Callithrix jacchus: one gene and its partners. The protein of the gene in region 1 interacts with the protein of each later gene in a biochemical or structural test. Links are inferred from orthologs where the notes say so. Each region holds a gene or a part of one and is shown in the gene's direction. Other genes may lie near its edges.

The links.
Region 2: the proteins of CFTR (region 1) and PRKAA1 form a complex in vitro, tested with the Homo sapiens proteins (2 studies listed by BioGRID, with this or other methods). The link is inferred for Callithrix jacchus from reciprocal best matches to the Homo sapiens genes CFTR and PRKAA1.
Region 3: the proteins of CFTR (region 1) and NHERF4 form a complex in vitro, tested with the Homo sapiens proteins (2 studies listed by BioGRID and IntAct, with this or other methods). The link is inferred for Callithrix jacchus from reciprocal best matches to the Homo sapiens genes CFTR and NHERF4.
Region 4: the proteins of CFTR (region 1) and CASK interact in a test that uses a peptide from one of them, tested with the Homo sapiens proteins (2 studies listed by IntAct, with this or other methods). The link is inferred for Callithrix jacchus from reciprocal best matches to the Homo sapiens genes CFTR and CASK.

What each region holds. Positions count from the first base shown.
Region 1 is NC_133512.1:88,121,211-88,125,731, forward strand, and holds part of CFTR (cystic fibrosis transmembrane conductance regulator), read left to right. Parts: intron 1-2,413; coding exon 2,414-2,503; intron 2,504-3,373; coding exon 3,374-3,537; intron 3,538-4,521. UniProt on the Homo sapiens protein: Epithelial ion channel that plays an important role in the regulation of epithelial ion and water transport and fluid homeostasis. Mediates the transport of chloride ions across the cell membrane.
Region 2 is NC_133503.1:164,798,628-164,803,148, forward strand, and holds part of PRKAA1 (5'-AMP-activated protein kinase catalytic subunit alpha-1), read left to right. Parts: intron 1-192; coding exon 193-334; intron 335-2,329; coding exon 2,330-2,423; intron 2,424-2,854; coding exon 2,855-2,899; intron 2,900-4,521. UniProt on the Homo sapiens protein: Catalytic subunit of AMP-activated protein kinase (AMPK), an energy sensor protein kinase that plays a key role in regulating cellular energy metabolism.
Region 3 is NC_133511.1:18,846,626-18,849,757, forward strand, and holds the end of NHERF4 (Na(+)/H(+) exchange regulatory cofactor NHE-RF4), read left to right. Parts: coding exon 1-86; intron 87-296; coding exon 297-493; intron 494-582; coding exon 583-1,146; intron 1,147-1,400; coding exon 1,401-1,430; 3' UTR 1,431-2,137; downstream 2,138-3,132.
Region 4 is NC_133524.1:42,784,506-42,789,741, reverse strand, and holds the start of CASK (peripheral plasma membrane protein CASK), read left to right. Parts: upstream 1-2,004; 5' UTR 2,005-2,139; coding exon 2,140-2,198; intron 2,199-5,236. UniProt on the Homo sapiens protein: Multidomain scaffolding Mg(2+)-independent protein kinase that catalyzes the phosphotransfer from ATP to proteins such as NRXN1, and plays a role in synaptic transmembrane protein anchoring and ion channel trafficking.

The sequences.
Region 1 (4,521 bases):
CAAAGTCATTATAGAAAGCTGTTTTTGATGGAATAATTTGGATATTGCTTTACCCTTCTCTTTCTTCTTTTACCACTGTAAAAATGTTATATATTAAATACTTGGCTTATAAGGGATATCGATCTGAAATCTGCCACTAGCAAATAACCCATAACCCTTCTAAGATATAACTGCAAGGTCGACTGTGTTGTAAAACCTCAATAACTGTACTTTATTGTTCAAAAAAGCCTTTTATGAAGGCAGAAGTAAGAAAAAAAAAACGGAGTCCACAGTTATCACCTCAGCTGCAATCTCATCAGTTCACAAGTACCAGGGAAACGTGTGATAAATCAACAAAAGTTTTATTTTGATCCAAACCTTTACATAAGTGAGGACATTGTTAGATATCATTTAGAATGTAGACTCTACACAGCTGGCATATCAGAGAAAGTTGAATTCATTTAATAAATATTTATAAAAATTGCTTATCTTAATGGTAATAGCATGTGCATGACAAATTTTTAGGCAATTAGGTACACCATCTCATTTGATCTTCTGCACAACTCTTAATGGTAGGTATTATTACCCCTATCATATGGATAAGGAAACTAAGATTTTAAAGGTACAGAACATGGTGCAGACACTGCTTCAAAATTTCTAAAATAGGTAAATCACAATCTTTGAACTGGAGGGTTTTCCAACCACTCGGGACAATAGAGTACTGATATTTAGTGGGCAGACTCTACTGCAGGGAGAGAGAGGCATGGGCTAATGGGGTACAGAGATCAAATAATGGGCAGGTTAGTTTGTAAACAAGTCCCTATGTAACATTTAGCACAAATATAGGTGCTTTCAGACCCAGATGCACTGATAAAAAGTTAAATGGTATAGTATTTGTCTTCCTTTCTCAACATTGAGTATCTGTGTTCTTGGTGAGTTTGATTTCTCTCTCTAACCACCCTTATGCCTACATTGGCATTATCACCAAAGAAGGCAATCCCGTCTCTGTGTGGCTTTGGTTTGGTTCCTAAAGTGAACCTGTGTTTACTCTTCCCAGGTCTGATGCTTTCCCATATCTGACCTGTTTGGCCTCATAACCAGGATATATGGGATATTTCCTACAATGTTCCAAAGTTTGTAACAGAGCTCTCCTCTGCTTTGTTCCAAATTCTGCAATATTTTACTTTAAATAATGAATTTAAATACAAACAATTTTGAGCTTTGCCTATACTTTTCAAGAATGCAGAAATAACTTAATTTAAAAATATTTATTGAGTCCTTACTGTGCACACAGCTCCATGTTAAGCCTTATGCAGGACTCAAAGTCACTTGAGACTAAGCCTGTTACTAAATCATGTGCAATTTAGCTCAATGGGTTTTCCCCCTTCATGTTGCTCTGATAATGTTTTGGAATTAAGTGCCTTGATTCCTTCTTTTCTCTGCTTATCTGCACACTGTTTATTATTCCACACCATCTCAAATTCTAACTCCTCAAGAAAATCCTTCCAGATTTTTCTAACCAGAAGTTTTAACTTTTTCTTAACTACCCTATTACTTTCTACTTTCCTTAACTCATCTATCATGTTATATTTAGTTATTTATATACTAGGTTGCTTTGAAGAAATAATTATGTTTTAATAAATCTTAATAATCATTGAGGCATCAAGTAGAGTGATTTGTATTTACTAAATGCTCAACAAGTATGTGAGAGATTCACTTGAAACTAATATTAGATAATTCCCAATCAAAGTGAGCTAATAGCAAATCAATTCTTCTACAGTTTGAGGTCAAATTGAGCAAAGTATGACTCTGATCTTCCATAATCATAGTCAACTTTATAATTTTAAGTAAATTTAATTAGTAGATAAATAAGTAGATAAAAAATAATTTACCTTCTTAACTATTTTTCATATGCCATTGCACTTTTCTTTGTAAAATTTAAGGATTTTGTTAATATACTTTTTCACAAAAGTAATAATTACTCAGCTATTCATCCCATACTTTTATTAACTTTAACCGTAATTTTATTCAAAAGAGTTAGTATAGGACTGCATGAAAAATTCAAGGCCAAGGCTTAATCTCAAATTTCCCTCCCTTTGGCTCTATTTTTTGAAACAAAACAAAACAAAAAATCCCATACCATATAAATGGGTATTTAAGTATAATATCATTTTCATTGTGAGGAGAAAAAATAATTATTTCTCTCTAGATGCTGGAAAATAAAACAGCTAGAAGCCTGCCAGTATAATACTGTTAAAAGTAATATTTATGAATCTGAGAAGATAGTAAGCTAGATGAATAGAACATAATTTTCATTACCTTTGCTTAATAATGAATGCATAAAAACTGAATTTCTCAGTCATATTATAACGTTACTTAAAATATATTTGTATTTTGTTTGTTGAAATTTTCTAACTTCCCATTTTTCTCTTAGACTTTAAAGCTGTCGAGCCGTGTTCTAGATAAAATAAGTATTGGACAACTTGTTAGTCTCCTTTCCAACAACCTGAACAAATTTGATGAAGTATGTACCTGTTGATTTAATATTTTATGCACTATTATTATAAATTATACAATTGAAAAGGTAGAGTTTTCCTGGGTCACATGATAGTAATTAGTGGTTAAGTCTTGCTTATCTCCAGCTTCCCTATTCTGGAAACGGAGAAAGGTAGACTGTATAGCATAGCGCCATTCTGGGGTCTGGTAGAACCACCCAACGCAGAGGCATCTCAGGCTGTTGTTAATAAGATTTTTCAAAACTTAATTCTTATAAGATCTTGCTTCTCTTTACTACTTTAAATCTGTTATATACTTTGGCTGAATATGATACTCAGAGCAATTTTTGTTCTATATTGTCTTATGTGACAAATTCAAGCTCCTTGAGGATAATGTGTTTTACTTATCCTTGCATGTCCAGTACTTAAAATAGCTTTGGACCCACAGCTGGTACAAAATTGATTACTGTTGAATTGAACAACTCTTCCTAATGTTTCTGTCAGTTGACAGAGATGTGCAGTTGTGCGGATTGAGTCTCTAGAGAGTTTTTTGTTCTCTCATGTCCTGTGCTGTATTTCTTGCCTAATCCAAAAAGAAATAAGTTACTAAAAACCTGGACATGATTCTTAAGATATCCAATCTCAATTCCACTGAATAAAAATATACTTTAAAATGCACTTACTTGAAATTTGTTCTTTGGGAAAACCTAGTCTGTATGTAGAATGTTAAAGCACATTGTTATGTGCTCCATGTAATGATTACTTGATTTTAGTGTGCTCAGAACCATAAAGTGTTTGATCATATGCTCTCTGTATTCGCTTTCTTTCATATGTGATTGTTTGTTTCTAGGGGTGGAAGATAAAATGCCACCTGTTTTTGCTGTGCTTTTATTTTCCAGGGACTTGCATTGGCACATTTCGTGTGGATCGCTCCTTTGCAAGTGGCACTCCTCATGGGGCTAATCTGGGAGTTGTTACAGGCCTCTGCCTTCTGTGGACTTGGTTTCCTGATAGTTCTTGCCCTTTTTCAGGCTGGGCTGGGGAGAATGATGATGAAGTACAGGTAGCAACTTATTTGCATAGCTTGAAAATTTTAAAAATTATGTTTTCAAAAAGCCCACTTTAGTAAAACCAGGACTGCTCTTTACATAGAACTGTGATCTTCAGTGTCACTAAAAAAGCCTTTTTTTTTTTTCTTTTCAAATTCTTTTTTGGAGGCAGAGTCTAACTTTGTTACCCATGCTGGAGTGCAGTGGCACCATCTTGGCTCATTGCAACCTTTGCCTCCCACTCTCAAGCAATTCTCCTGTCTCAGCCTCCAGAGTAGCTGGGGTTACAGGCACATGCCACCACACCTGGCTAATTTTTATATTTTAGTAGAGACACGGTTTCACCAGGTTACTCAGGATGGTCTTGACCTTAAGTGATCTGTCCACCTCAGCCTCCCAAAGTGCTGGGATGACAGGCATGAGCCACTGTACCTGGCCTAAAAAAAGACTCTTTAAAGTGGTATAAATATTACTTCCTATATCAATGGGAAAGTTTTTGCTTGTCAGTCTCTAGAATTCCTTTATAAATATGTTGATTCAGTTCATTTTTTAAGATATAAAACAGCTAAAAATGGATAAAATTTTTATGTGAGTTAAAAGGAATACCTGATTTTTGTGTAGAGTTTATTAGCTTTTAGGACTCTGGTTTACGGATCATCACACCAGAGCCTTAGTCACTTTGTATTACAGAATAACTAATACCAGTGAATGAATGACTTACACCAGTCACTGCTTGTGATAAAGGGCTTCCTGAGTCAGATAGAATATGACATAAAGTATAAAAATTTTGGAGTCAAATAGCTCTTTGTTTGAATCCCAGATTGCATACTTACTAGTTATATGACCTTAGTCAAGCCAGTTCACCTCACTGTCTTTGCTTTTTTCATCTCTGAATTGAGATACCCACCACTCATAGACTCTCATAAGGGACAGGGACAATGCCACGTAGGAGGCATTTACTAAACAGTAGTTATTATTTTTGCTACCATCTATTTGAT
Region 2 (4,521 bases), on another chromosome or scaffold:
AATTTTTAGTAGAGATGGGGTTTCGACATGTTGGCCAGCTCTGGATTTGAACTCCTGACCTCAAGTAATCCACCACCTGGGCCTTGCAAGTGCTGGGATTACAGGCGTGAGCCACCGTACCCAGCCAGAATATGTATAAATATATTATTGATCATACTTAGTACTAATTTGTTAAAATTACTTCCTTTACAGTTGGCAAACATGAATTAACTGGGCATAAAGTGGCTGTGAAGATACTCAATAGGCAGAAGATTCGGAGCCTCGATGTGGTGGGAAAAATCCGCAGAGAAATTCAGAACCTCAAGCTTTTCAGGCATCCTCATATAATTAAACTGTAAGCTCTGTTTATATTAAATGTAGACCAGTCATCTTTTCATCTTTTTTGTTAACCTACTTAATGTGACAAGCGAGAAAAATGACTGACACTTCTTTTTGTTTCATGAGGGTTTTGAAAAGTTTCTTCCTAGGCCGCTTGCAGTGGCTCATGCCTGTAATCCCAGCATTTTGGGAGGCCGAGGTGGACAGATCACCTGAGGTCAGGAGTTCAAGACTAGCCTGGCCAACATGGTGAAACCCCATCTCTACTAAAAATATAAAAATTAGCTCTGTGTGGTGGTGGGCACCTGTAATCCCAGCTACTCAGGAGGCTGAGGCAGGAGAATTGCTTGAACCTGGGAGGTAGAGGTAGCAGTGAGCTGAGATCATGCCTTTGCACTCCAGCCTGGGCAACAAGGGCGAAACTGTCTCAAAAAAAAAAAAGTTTCTTCCTTTGCATGTATTCTTCTAGCCCTCCTGATGGTCATTTAATCCTGTGTTCATGTTTTGCCCTTGTGCTTATCAGCTGTTATCTTCTCATTCTTTCCTGTCTTCTGGAAAGATGCCCTTTTGATAATAATGTTTGGTGCCCCATTAGTGTAAAATCAACAATGATCTGCTAGTAAAAACTCTTGACCTCCAAGTGCCCACATGACGTCAGTTAGCCTCATTAGCGAGAATGCAGTAGAAAGAGTTTTTTCCCATCCTGCTTATACCTGAATACAGATAACAAAATTTTAGGAATCTAATATTTCAAAAGAGCAGTAATCTTACTGTTGTTTTATAGTTGTAGGTTGTAGAGTCTATAAATAACATATTTCCTGCTCAGCTTCTGCTTTGTTATGCAGGCAATAATTTAAAGCTGCTGAACTGGCTGACTCAAATTTGTTTCACTCACCTCTTCTCATTTGTTGAGGTTCCATGGTTTTAAATACCATCCATGTGCTTACCACTCCTAAATGTCCATCTCTTGCTTTAAGATCTCTTCTTACTCCAGACTCAAAATGCTCACTGCTGACTTTACATTTCCATTTGGATGTCCGCAAGGCATTTAAAACTCCCTGGGACCAAAATGAACTATTACTCTCCCAAACCTGCTCTTACCACAGTTTTCACCATCTCAGCTAACATCCAGTTACCCAGGGCTAAAACTTAGGAACCGTTTTTAACTTCCCTGTTTCTTTCACATCTCTTCCTATAAAATCAAGCTAGCATGTGACTGCTTCTCAGTTCCTTTATCACTGTCAACCTGGTCTCAGCCACCTTCATCCGTCTTATGAAATCCTGAGGTAACCTCCTGTATCTACCTTTACTGTTGACAGTTAATTCTTTACACTGTGGCCAGAGTTTTCCTTTTAATATGCCAGATCACATGACTGCTTAAAACATATGATAGCTTTTTTCTTTTTTTTTTCCTTTCTTTATTTTTTTCTTTTTAGCCCCTTTCTGAGACAATGATAGCTTTTTTCATTTTCCTTGGAGTAAAAGCCAAAGCCTTATCATGGCTTATACAATTCTATGTACTCTGGCCGGCAGTTAACACCTTTGATTCTACATCCTATTTTTCCCTCCCTGCTTACTCTGCTGTGCCCTTACTATTCCTCGAACATGCCAAACAGGATTCTACCTGGGGACATTTGTAGCTGCTGTTTTCTCTCCCTGGTTCACCTTCCTCCTAGATAATGGCATAATTTATTTCCATTCTTCTTTTAGGATCAGCTCAAATGTTACTTTATTAGAAGGCTTCCTTGAGCACTCTGTATACAAACATTCCCCTTAGTTTGCTTTATTTTTCTACATAGCATGTTCTACCACCTGAGATACTGTTTATTTATTTAGTGTCTGTTTCCTGGCTTCTGGAACATGAACTCCATGAGAGCAGATAATTTTTGTTCCCTGCAGTTATCCTAGCTCCTAGCATGGCACCTAGTATACTATAGGTGCTTAGTAAATATTTATTGAATGAATGAATATACATGTTTTAATATTTGTAGACAATTTTTTCTCTCACCAGGTACCAGGTCATCAGTACACCATCTGATATTTTCATGGTGATGGAATATGTCTCTGGAGGAGAGCTATTTGATTATATCTGTAAGAATGGAAGGGTAAGCTGTTCTGATTTAATTCTGTATGTATTTTGTAACTCTCCTTTGTCCTTTACTAGCATCAGAATGTCAGCAAGCAATTTTAAGAGGTCTATTTAATAACCAGTTCCCTTAGTCATATATTTATTTAGAATCATAAGCCATTTAGAACTAGAAAGGATCTTAAAGATTATCTCAGCCTGTTTATACAGATATGGATATTGAGCCTCATGGTTTGTATGTTGCTCATGGTAACATGATTTATTAATGACAGAATTGGCTTGAGATCCCAGAACTCATAATCCTCAGACTTATGCTTCCAGGGTATGCAAATACTTTGAAAATGTATCTTAATGTAATTAATACTTACAAAATATATTATTACTTAACAATCTAGGCCTTGCTAGTCAATCCTAGCCACATTTAAATTGCGTTCATTTTTTTGGTTTCAGAAATCTGATGTACCTGGAGTAGTAAGAACAGGCTCCATGAAGGAGGTAGGAATTAGACATAAAGAACTTAGAGCTGGAAGGAACTTTAGAAGACGTTTTGAACACTACCTTAAGTTACAGATAGAAAACTCAACACTGCCCTCTGCCCATAACTTTCTCTCATACCCAGGTTATGTGGTATACAAAAAGCCCCTTTGTGGGAGAGCTGTATCTAGCCCTGAAAAGAAAGCTTTTCTCCCTCCCGGTCTTAAGTTACTTACATTACTCATTCATTTGTTCTATATAGCATGTCTGTTTACTTTCAATAGAATCAAACTTTATTAACTAAGTTAATTTTGATTTTACTGTTTCTTAACATGGTTAATTTCTATTTCAGGTACTCCCCTTCTTCCGTTTCTCCTCACCAAAAAAAAAAAAAAAAAAAAAAGTTTTATATGGAGAAATGGGAAACAGGCACAACTGATATACATTTTTTCTTATCTTTTCTGTTTTTATTTCGTGGTTTTACTTTGTGGGTGTTTCTTCAATTTTATCAGTTGAATATTAAAATTTCAGTGACCATATTTTCTATTTCAAAACTTTATTTTCTGAAATTTTCATTTCTTTAGTCTGCTGTTATTTGCTCCACAGATGTAATAACCTGGTCTGAGGATGACATTGAAAAAAAAAGTTTTCCTCTGTTCCATCTTGTTGTGTACCTTCTGTGCTCTCTGCTCCTCATTTTTTTCTGTTCATTTTTGTCTTTGATACGTGGCCCTTTTTCAGATATTTGGTGATTTGTGGCTGTCCACTTAATATTTAAGAATAAGATACTAAATGCCAGGCTCATGTGGGTGGAACTTACTGATTGCTGGGTTTTCCTATATCTTGAATAGGTAGGGACTTGTCCATTTTATTACTGTATATCAAATGGTAATAATAGCAAATATGTTTTCTTGTATCAGATATTTCAGAAGAAACCTTCCCATATCCTTAAAATCCTTAGCTTAGCTGTTAGTGCTCCAGGAGCTGAGTGTGAGAAAAGAGATGCAAGTCTCAGTAGTTAGTACGTTGACTTCTCTTAGCCCCCATGTTTTCCTCAGCATGCCTTATCCCTGCCTTAAGTGTCCTTGAGAGCAGAGCTGGTTCAGCCTTACTAGAGGAAATTACAGGTCTTATTCCCCAGTATGGGTGAGTTTAAAAGCTTCTTACTTCAAGTACTTGTCCTGTTTTCAGCCCCCTATGTTTCTAATTTCTAAGGCTTCCCAGGGCTTTTTTGTGCAGACATTTATTTCTTACTGGCTTCTATCCCTGTAGGCTTAGGTTTCAGCTTTTTCTTGTAGTTTAGTCTTTATTACCATTTATCTGTTGTCCTCCTTGGTGACTTCTCTTGATTGCTGTTGTATCTTTTGTTCTTTTTGTCTTTATATGCCTCTTTTATTGCTGATGTCATTTTAGTGATGTTTCAAGAATTGGAGATGAAAGATTTAATCTGCTATGTTTAATGGGAAATGTATTTTGACTTTTCTGATCTTCCTTTATAGACATCCCTTTCTCCATCCTTTGTAGTTGTATTTGTTATGAATATAGTATAATTTTCAATTTTGTAGCCTGTCTAGTTACTTTATATATTTTGTTTAATCAAATTTTCTCTTATTTTTTCATATTTGAACAGATACCCTTTTTTA
Region 3 (3,132 bases), on another chromosome or scaffold:
CAAGCCCCGATGTCTGCACCTGCAGAAAGGGCCCCGGGGTTTTGGGTTCCTGCTCCGGGAGGAAAAGGGCCTTGATGGTCGCCCTGGTGAGTGAGAACCCTGGAGGTGGTGGGGGAAGGTGGGCCTTGAGGTGGGCACACAAATGTATATACACCTCTCAGTACACAGAAGAGGTGTCCCTGTCTGAGCTCTGGCCCTGGGCCACCTCTTCCTGCTCACCCTGAGGTCAGTCCGCTGGTGTGCACACAGTGGCCTGGGATAGTTGGGGAGAAGCAGTAAGGATGTCTGTGCCCCAGGACAGTTCCTGTGGGATGTAGACCCAGGACTGCCAGCTGAGAAGGCTGGGATGCAGGCTGGGGACCGGCTGGTGGCTGTGGCTGGGGAGAGCGTGGAGGGACTGGGCCATGAGGAGACAGTGTCCAGGATCCAGGCGCAGGGCTCCTGTGTCTCCCTCATTGTCGTCGACCCTGATGCTGACCGCTTCTTCAGCATGGTGCGTGCTGAGGGGGCAGGGGCTAGGGATGGGGCAGAAGAGGAGCAGGGCTCGGGTCCAACAGGTTTGCTCTACCTGCCACCTTCCAGGTTCGCCTATCCCCACTCCTCTTCTTGGAGAACACAGAGGTTACTGCCTCTCCCCAGGGCAGTGGCTCAGCCTCTCTGGTTGAGACAGAGGACCCTTCACTTGAAGACACAGGCGTGCCTTCCGTCCCTCTTGGCTCCCGCCAGTGCTCTCTGTACCCTGGGCCTGGTGGCGGCTATGGCTTCCGACTCAGCTGTGTGGAGGGTGGGCCTCGTCTCTTTATCTCACAGGTGACTCATGCCCCATGGACCCTGAATCCTTTCCATCCTTTGCTGCCTGATCAGTTTCCTCTGCTTTCCTTCCAGAGCCTTAAGCCAGCAAATTTTCCCTGGTCTCCCCTGTTCTGCATGCCCCCACACCACCAGGTGACTCCAGGAGGCTCAGCTGCCCGGGCGGGGCTGCGAGTGGGAGATGTGATTCTGGAAGTGAACGGGTACCCTGTTGGGGGAAAGAATGACCTGGAGAGGCTTCAGCAGCTGCCTGAGGCTGAGCCACCCCTCTGCCTGAAGCTGGCAGCCAGGTCTCCATGGGGCTTGGAAGCCTGGATTCCCCCTGGGGCTGTAGAGGTGAGGAAGAAGAAACAGATTGGACTGTGAGTAGCTACAGAAGGTCAGGGAGGAGTGAGAAAGGACAGAGTGGGCAAGCTGCAAGGTGAAGCAGTGTGGGGTCTGCAAGGTGGGCTTCAGGTCGTGGTAGGTGGGGACAGAAAAATGCATGAAATAAGTCCCGTTCCTGGGCATTCCAGTGCAGGAGGAGGCAAGAAAAAGTAACTCTTTGGGGTCCCACCTGGAACCACCTTCCGCCTCCTCTCTCTGCCTAGGACTGGGCTCTGGCCTCGGACCTGCTATAGAGCATCACTGCTTGGTACAGACATACCAGGGGATATCCTGTCTTCACTCTCAAGCCCAAGGTGTTGGAGGCAGGATGCTCTCTATAAGCCAGACACCACCAATCACAGGCTGGCCCAGGCACTCCCTCCCTTCCTGCAGACCCACCTCCCAGCAGAGGGTATGGCAGAAGGCCTCAGGCAGGTCCCTGACGAAGTCTGAGGCTCCAGAGGATGTCGTCTGGGAGCTTTGGAGAGCTGTGTCCCAAGGATGAAGGTGTGGCTGTGGGGCTGGCTAGGACTGAAACCACCTGGACCTTTTCTAGATAGGACTCCACGACCCTTGAGTGTAATGCAAGAATTTGGAGACCAGCTATGCCTGCCCTCTGTGGGCACCTTAACACTGCGGAGGGTGGTGCCTGGGCACCGTTGCACTTGTTAGAGAAATGGCCGTTCCCCATAAATCTGACTGCCTGTGTTTGTGTTGGTGGGGGTAAGGGGCAGTGGTCTGAAGGGACCCAAAGGACCTCAGGCTCAAGGGATGGGACCTGGCTTTTGCAGGAGAGAGGTTGCGACTTGATCAAATTTCTTTCCTGTCACTCAGTCTCGGATTAATGGATCAACCCAGAACTGAGGTGTCCCCATGAGAGCCCCATGAGAGCCATTCCTAAAAATAAAAGCAACAACAAAACAAAACAAAGAAGAAAAATAAATTAAAAAATAATAAAAAAGATCCATTCCTCTCTGCCAAAAGACCACCGCCCACAGCTCTGCTGAGTTCTGCATCAAGATGCTTTATTGCTGGGGCCTCAGAGAGCCTGAGAGACTAGAGGCTGGAGGCCTCAAAGATCCAGGGGGTGAGTCCGAACTGGCATAGCTGCTCCTTGAGCCTGGGGTCTCAGCGCAGCCCCATCCCACTGCGGCTTGATAGCTCTCAGCATGGCCAAGAGCCTGTCCAGGCTGTCCTGCAGACACCAAGATTTCAGCCCCCAGGAAGACAGAGGGAAGTGGATAAGGCTGCCCCAGGTTGGTTTGTAAGCTTTCCTTGTCCAGCAGACATGGTTGTATCCCTTCTTTCCGTCCTCAGGATAGAGCAGGGTTCCCTTGGAGATGCTTCTTCTCCTTACCCCTGGGTTGTCAGTCATCATACTAGCTGGGGTTTGTGGGCACGGGGGAGTCCTGGGTACTGGGTGGCTGGGCAGGGGGTGGTGCTCATGTGTAAGATTTCCTCATACTTGGCTTCCATGTCTGCCACATGGGCCTGAAGCTGAGCCAGGGCCTGATCCGGTTCTCCTAGGGCTTGCTCAGCCTCTTCCCAGGCAGCCGCAGCCTCCCTCTGGCATGCCTCCAGGGGCGGGCAGGATGAAAGAGAGTAGGATGGTGACACTCCACCCTTGACCAGTCTCCAAAGGTATCTGCAAAGGGGACCTCAAGTGGGCTCATTCCAGACTCCCTCAGGATCACCAACTTTCCCACAGTCCCTGTAAAAGCTACAGCTCCACTGAGGTATGGCAGAGAGTGGTGGGCTTGAGATAGAAGACTCCAAAGTCGGTTGTTACTACCTAGGTGACTTCAGGTGTGTCTCTCTCTGAGCCTCAGTGTCTTCATCTATTTTTTTTTTTTTTTTTGAGACAGAGTCTCGCTCTGTCACCAGGCTGGAGTGCAGTGACATGATCTCAGCTCACTGCGACCTCTACTTCCCGGGTTCAAGGGATTCTCATGCTTC
Region 4 (5,236 bases), on another chromosome or scaffold:
GGGAAAAGAAGTGAAGCTGACAAGGTGACTTGAGAGGGTCTCTGGGCACTTAAGGGCAGAATAGAGTGACACCTTATTCATAGGGCATGAGCTGAACATGCCAACTTGTGGTGAGTAACTCTTGGACCCTTAAAGGAGGCAATGTTTCTTAAGTTCCGAAGCCCCCTTCTCTAGAGAATGCACAAGCTCTCTAAGAAAGGAGGAAAACCACGTGCAATTACGCTTGTCCTCTGGTCTGCATGTTTTTTTAAAAAAGGTTTAGTACTCAAATCCTTAGCAAGCAAATCTCTCAGCCTTTTGAGGGAGTGGTCAAGGGTTTGCATGAAACGTTTCTGAAGAGAAAATAGGCTGTGAGTCTCCACAACACCCCCTCTGCTTTGGTATTAAGAAATAATTTTTTTGAAAAAATTACCTCACTGAGAAATTTGCCAGAAGATTTCTGGAAACTGACTTATGAACTAATTGGGCACTTTTGCTGTGCGGAGGAACAAAGACTATTGGTCTTCAACTGAGGCATACACCTGTCTCACGGCGTTGGCTCATTCCGCACATGCTCAGTTGAACAGAAATCTTCATTTTGAATGCAACCTAGCACAGCGGCAACACCCAGAACCTCACTCCCTGGCTGCTCCTGTGCCTGCACTCCCTCTAGTTGCATTTTGTTCCTGACAAGTCTAACATTTATAGGCAATATAGAGAGCAGAGTAGGTGTTGGGAGTTTGGGGGCAATATACAAAGGAGATTAAAGTCGCAGTTTGTCCCTGCCTTCCTGGTTTCTCTCTAGGTTGTCTCTAGTGAGGGTAAGCGCTGGATTGATATTTGCTGAGTTTGGGCCAGAACGTGGGAGAAGCTGTCTCCATAGATGACCGTGTGCTGCTGTCGCACACCTTCCTAGGCAGTTTTTGTCTAGTCCTTTTATAGGATGACCTACCCTTACCCCCAGCCCTCGTCTTCATTAAGGAATGACAGGGTGGCACTAAAAGCATCCGCTGCCAAGCACGGCTTCAGTGACAACCTCTCTCTACCTCTTTTGGCCTTCTCATTCATTCGCACCCTTTCCCTGCCTCTTTTCTCGACAAAAAACTGGGAAAGGCTCCCTGCGATTACAAAAGAAGGGGTAACGGCCGGAGTTCCGTGCCTCTTGCCGGACAACGAGCGTGCAGCCGTGGACCTTTTGTCTCCATCCTCTTTCGCGGCTTGGTCGCGGCTAGGCACGGAGGCGACGACCCCAACCAAGCCCCGCCTCAGCAGCTGCAGCCGGCGCGCCCCACTCGCAAACCCTCCGCGCCCTCTAGAATCCCAGTGCCCGCCCTTTCGCCGTGACGCGACCGGCGCCGCGCGCATGCGCCGCTCAGCCCGCTCCCTTTTCCCTGGGACACCGCCTCCCGACGGACTGGTGTGGGCGGGGCCTGTGGTTCTGGAAGCGGCGCTGGCGACGGGGGAGGAGGGCGTGTCTGCGCGAGGCGGGTGTGCGGGGCTGGCGAGTCGGTCGGCTGCTGAGGCTGAGGGGCGGAGCAGAAGGCGGCAGCCGCGGCTCCCGCCCGCACAGAGCGCCGGTCCCGCGAAGCCCCCTCCCACTTCTGGGCGGGCGGCGGCGGCTGCGGGAGGAGGAGAAAGAGGAGGGAGCGTCTCTGCCACCGCCTCCTGGTCCCCAGCGCCGATCAGCCGCCGCCACCTCCCTCCGAGACGATCCTCCCTCCATGGTCCTGCCGCGGCACCCTCTGTAGTCCGAGCTGCTCCGCGACGCGACGGAGCCGGTCTCGGACAGAGGGAGCGGTCGTGGCCTCGCAGCCCGCTCGGGCTGACGAGCCGAGAGCGGGACGCCGCGCGGTCCCCGAGGATCCGCACGCCGGGCAGCGCGGCCCGAGCAGCGCGAGGAGCAGCGGGCGGGCGGGCGGCGCCGGGCCCGGGCCGCCCTTGCTCCCGCGCCCCGGCCCCGCCGCCCGCGCCGGGGCGGTAGTCCGCAGAGGAAGGCGCCGCAGTCTCTGGGCCTCGCGGCCCCACTCAAGCGTCCTCGGCGCCGAGGGCTCGCGGGTCCTGAGGGGAGGAGGCGAGCCCGGGGCTGGGCACTGAGCTCTTGGGCGCCCCCACCCCCGTTTTCGAAGCCCTCCACGCTGCGGCCGCTATCCCCTCCGGACCATGGCCGACGACGACGTGCTGTTCGAGGATGTGTACGAGCTGTGCGAGGTGATCGGCAAGTAAGTCTCCACGCGAGGGAGCGGGAGTGTGGAAAAATGCATTTCAGTGATACCCCGGTCTTCCCGCACCCGCTCGGGGCCTGCCCCCTGCCCGCCCTCCCCTCTTCCCCTCTCGTCCTCCTCATCCTGGAGTATTTATAGACGTGTACCTGGAGCTCCTGCTTGGCGGGGGCCTTGGGGTTCTCAGCGATCCATTGAGGCCAACGAGCCTAGGTTGGTCACCCCGTAAGGCGTGGAGCCGGCTGCCTGCATTTTATCTGACGGTTGCATAGGGACGTGGCACAGCCGATTTTATAGTTGCTTCAGTTAGGGTTATTGTTACCTTGCTTGTACCATAGACCATTTTTGAAAAGAGCAGCTTGCATTTCCTTTGCTTGTGTGGAGAGAGAGAGAGATAGTCCAAGGTTTTAGTTGTGGGGTGTGTGTCTATTGTGCAGGATATTAGACAGATGCCTTTGTGTACACCCCGTGCCCGGATAGGAAGGGGTCGTTTAAGACGGGGTGCGTTCAGTTTCAGCAAATCCCCCCCTGGTGTACACAGACGTGGAAAGAGTTGGGGGCATTCGAATTTTTAATGCCTCGTTATGCAATGACTGTTCAATCAGTGCTCGAGGCTCCCCTAGACTGTTGTTGGGATGGTGGTTAGCATGGTAGAACCGTCTGCTTTGAGTCACCAGGCTGGTCTAGAATATAGAATTGACAGTCCAAATGCTCATCCTTTCATCTGTGTTGTATAATTACGCTAGGGAAAAGCAGGGAATCAGATTAATCACAGTGCTGATTGAGAATTAAATCTGCAGTTCCTCATCTAATTGTCTATTCCTTAAATCTATTTTGAATAGTTTCCTTTTCATTCTTGTCAAACAGTATTCCAAGTGCACAATCCTGCTAATTTGCTTGTGAAGGAAATGCTGGCAATCTGAACTTGATTTCCTAACACAGCGTGTATTCCGTGGCTTAATAAGGATCGCTAGAGCTACCATTGAAATATTTTTTTTTTTGGAAGCGGTGCTTTATTGTCTATTTTAAGGTCCACAGTTGGGAAATGAAATTAAGACCTTAGAGCAGTTGGCCCTCTCTCTTTTAAGTTGTCTGCAGTACACAATTTTAATTTGAGTGCTAATTTGTTTCTTTTTCTTTCCATATTGAGGTATTACAGTGTTGCCTCTCATGGTGAAATCGTGGATAGAGCTTGCTACACACTTTACTCAGACACAATTGATATGAGGACATGTTACTCCTTGCCCTATTGTTACATGATCAGCCAGACTGTTAAAAGGAAAGTATCCAAATGTGTCCTGTTAAAGTGGTTGTGGAAGTGTTTTGGAATAGCACTGTCCAAAAGCTGTATTATGAGCCACATTTATAATTTAAAATTTTCTAGTAGCCACATTTAATAAAAAAGGTATAACTAATTTTAATAAAATATTTTATTTAACTCAGTAGATTGAAACATTTCAACATGTAATCAATATGAAAACATATTAACGAAATATTTTACATGTTTTATACTAAGTCTTTGAAATCCCAGTGTGTATTTTACACTAACAGCACATCTCAATTCTGACACTTAAGCTGAATTTTCATCAGAAATTCGTAATCTGTATTTAGGTTTCATAAAATCTGCATTTGCAAAAGTAGATTCACATACCCAAGTGGTTCCCAGTATATATAAAAGTTTTCCAATAACCGAATCAAGTACCTTTTTCTAAATTTAAATTTTAATAAATGAAAATTAAATAAAATTCAAAATCCGTTTTCCAGTCTGACCAGCCACGTTTCAGGTGCTCAGTACCCACATGTGAATAGGACAGTTTTGGAGAGAAAAATGTCTCAAAAATCTCCTTGGTTTCCTTATTCTTAAGAGCACCCAGTAAAGGTAAATTAGGTGTTTTCCAAAAGCCTCCAAATGACTGGATGTGTGGGTGAATAATATTTGTTGCATCTTAGTTATAGCTGATGTAAATAAACTAGCAATTCATAATTGGAAAATGTGAGATTAAAATGTTAATTATATTGTGAAGATGGAAAATAGCCATCACTGAATCAGTTTTGGTAACTAGTTCTGATTCCTTAAAGTTGGGAAGGATGATGATGTGATCTCTTTGGATATCAAAAAGAAATGGTCATCATCACATTAACAGTATTCCACTGATTTGTAGTTGATAGAATATTTTCAGTAAACACCCCTGGGAGAAGAAAATTCATCTTTTCTGGCTATTTCAGAGCTGCATAAAGAGGGGCAGCAAGCTAATTTTGAGGTGATAGGCACTCTGTGGCTATCTAACTACTATGAACTGTGAAATCTCATTCATATCCTACAAAATCTGACTTGCTCAGTGTCAATTATAAAATGCCATTACATGAAATAATGAATTCAAGCTAGTCTTATTGTTAAAGAATGTAATAATAGTGTTCCTCAACCTGAGTAAAGGTTGAAGGTTTCTCTGGTAAATTGTCTTAGTATATATTGATATGGAAATTGAAATTAGCTTGAGATTTTCTTGCAGGGACCTTGACAGCATACATTTTTAACTTAGAATTTGTTCACCTCTGAATTTGAACAGAAAAGCCTTGAAGATCTTCCCATGCATTGAAAACCTTTTTATTGATTTCCATCCAAGTTCTGTGGAATTTTTATTTTCTTTTATAGCAAGTTAGTATCACAAATTGTTTTTCACCACTAGATCTTAATAGGTTTAAATTTTTACTAAGGTACTTTAAAATAGATTTCACTTTTCAAGACTAATTGACCACCCACTCACTCCTCTACCTACCCAACTACCTACTCATTTACCCACTGTGTACTTGACCTTACTTGATGGCATAAATGAAAGTTCTCATTTAATTTAGACCTTTCAATCTGTTTTTTTTCCCTTGGTTGAGAAAGACAACTTACAGAGTTAATGAGGTTTTGAAATATAAGATCATTATTTGGAATATGTTTTCTTTCCAGTGGCTGCAGCCTTTACCCTTGTTAAAGCTATCTTTGAGGGAACATGTGCCTGATTCTTTACAAATATTGGAAGGATGCCATT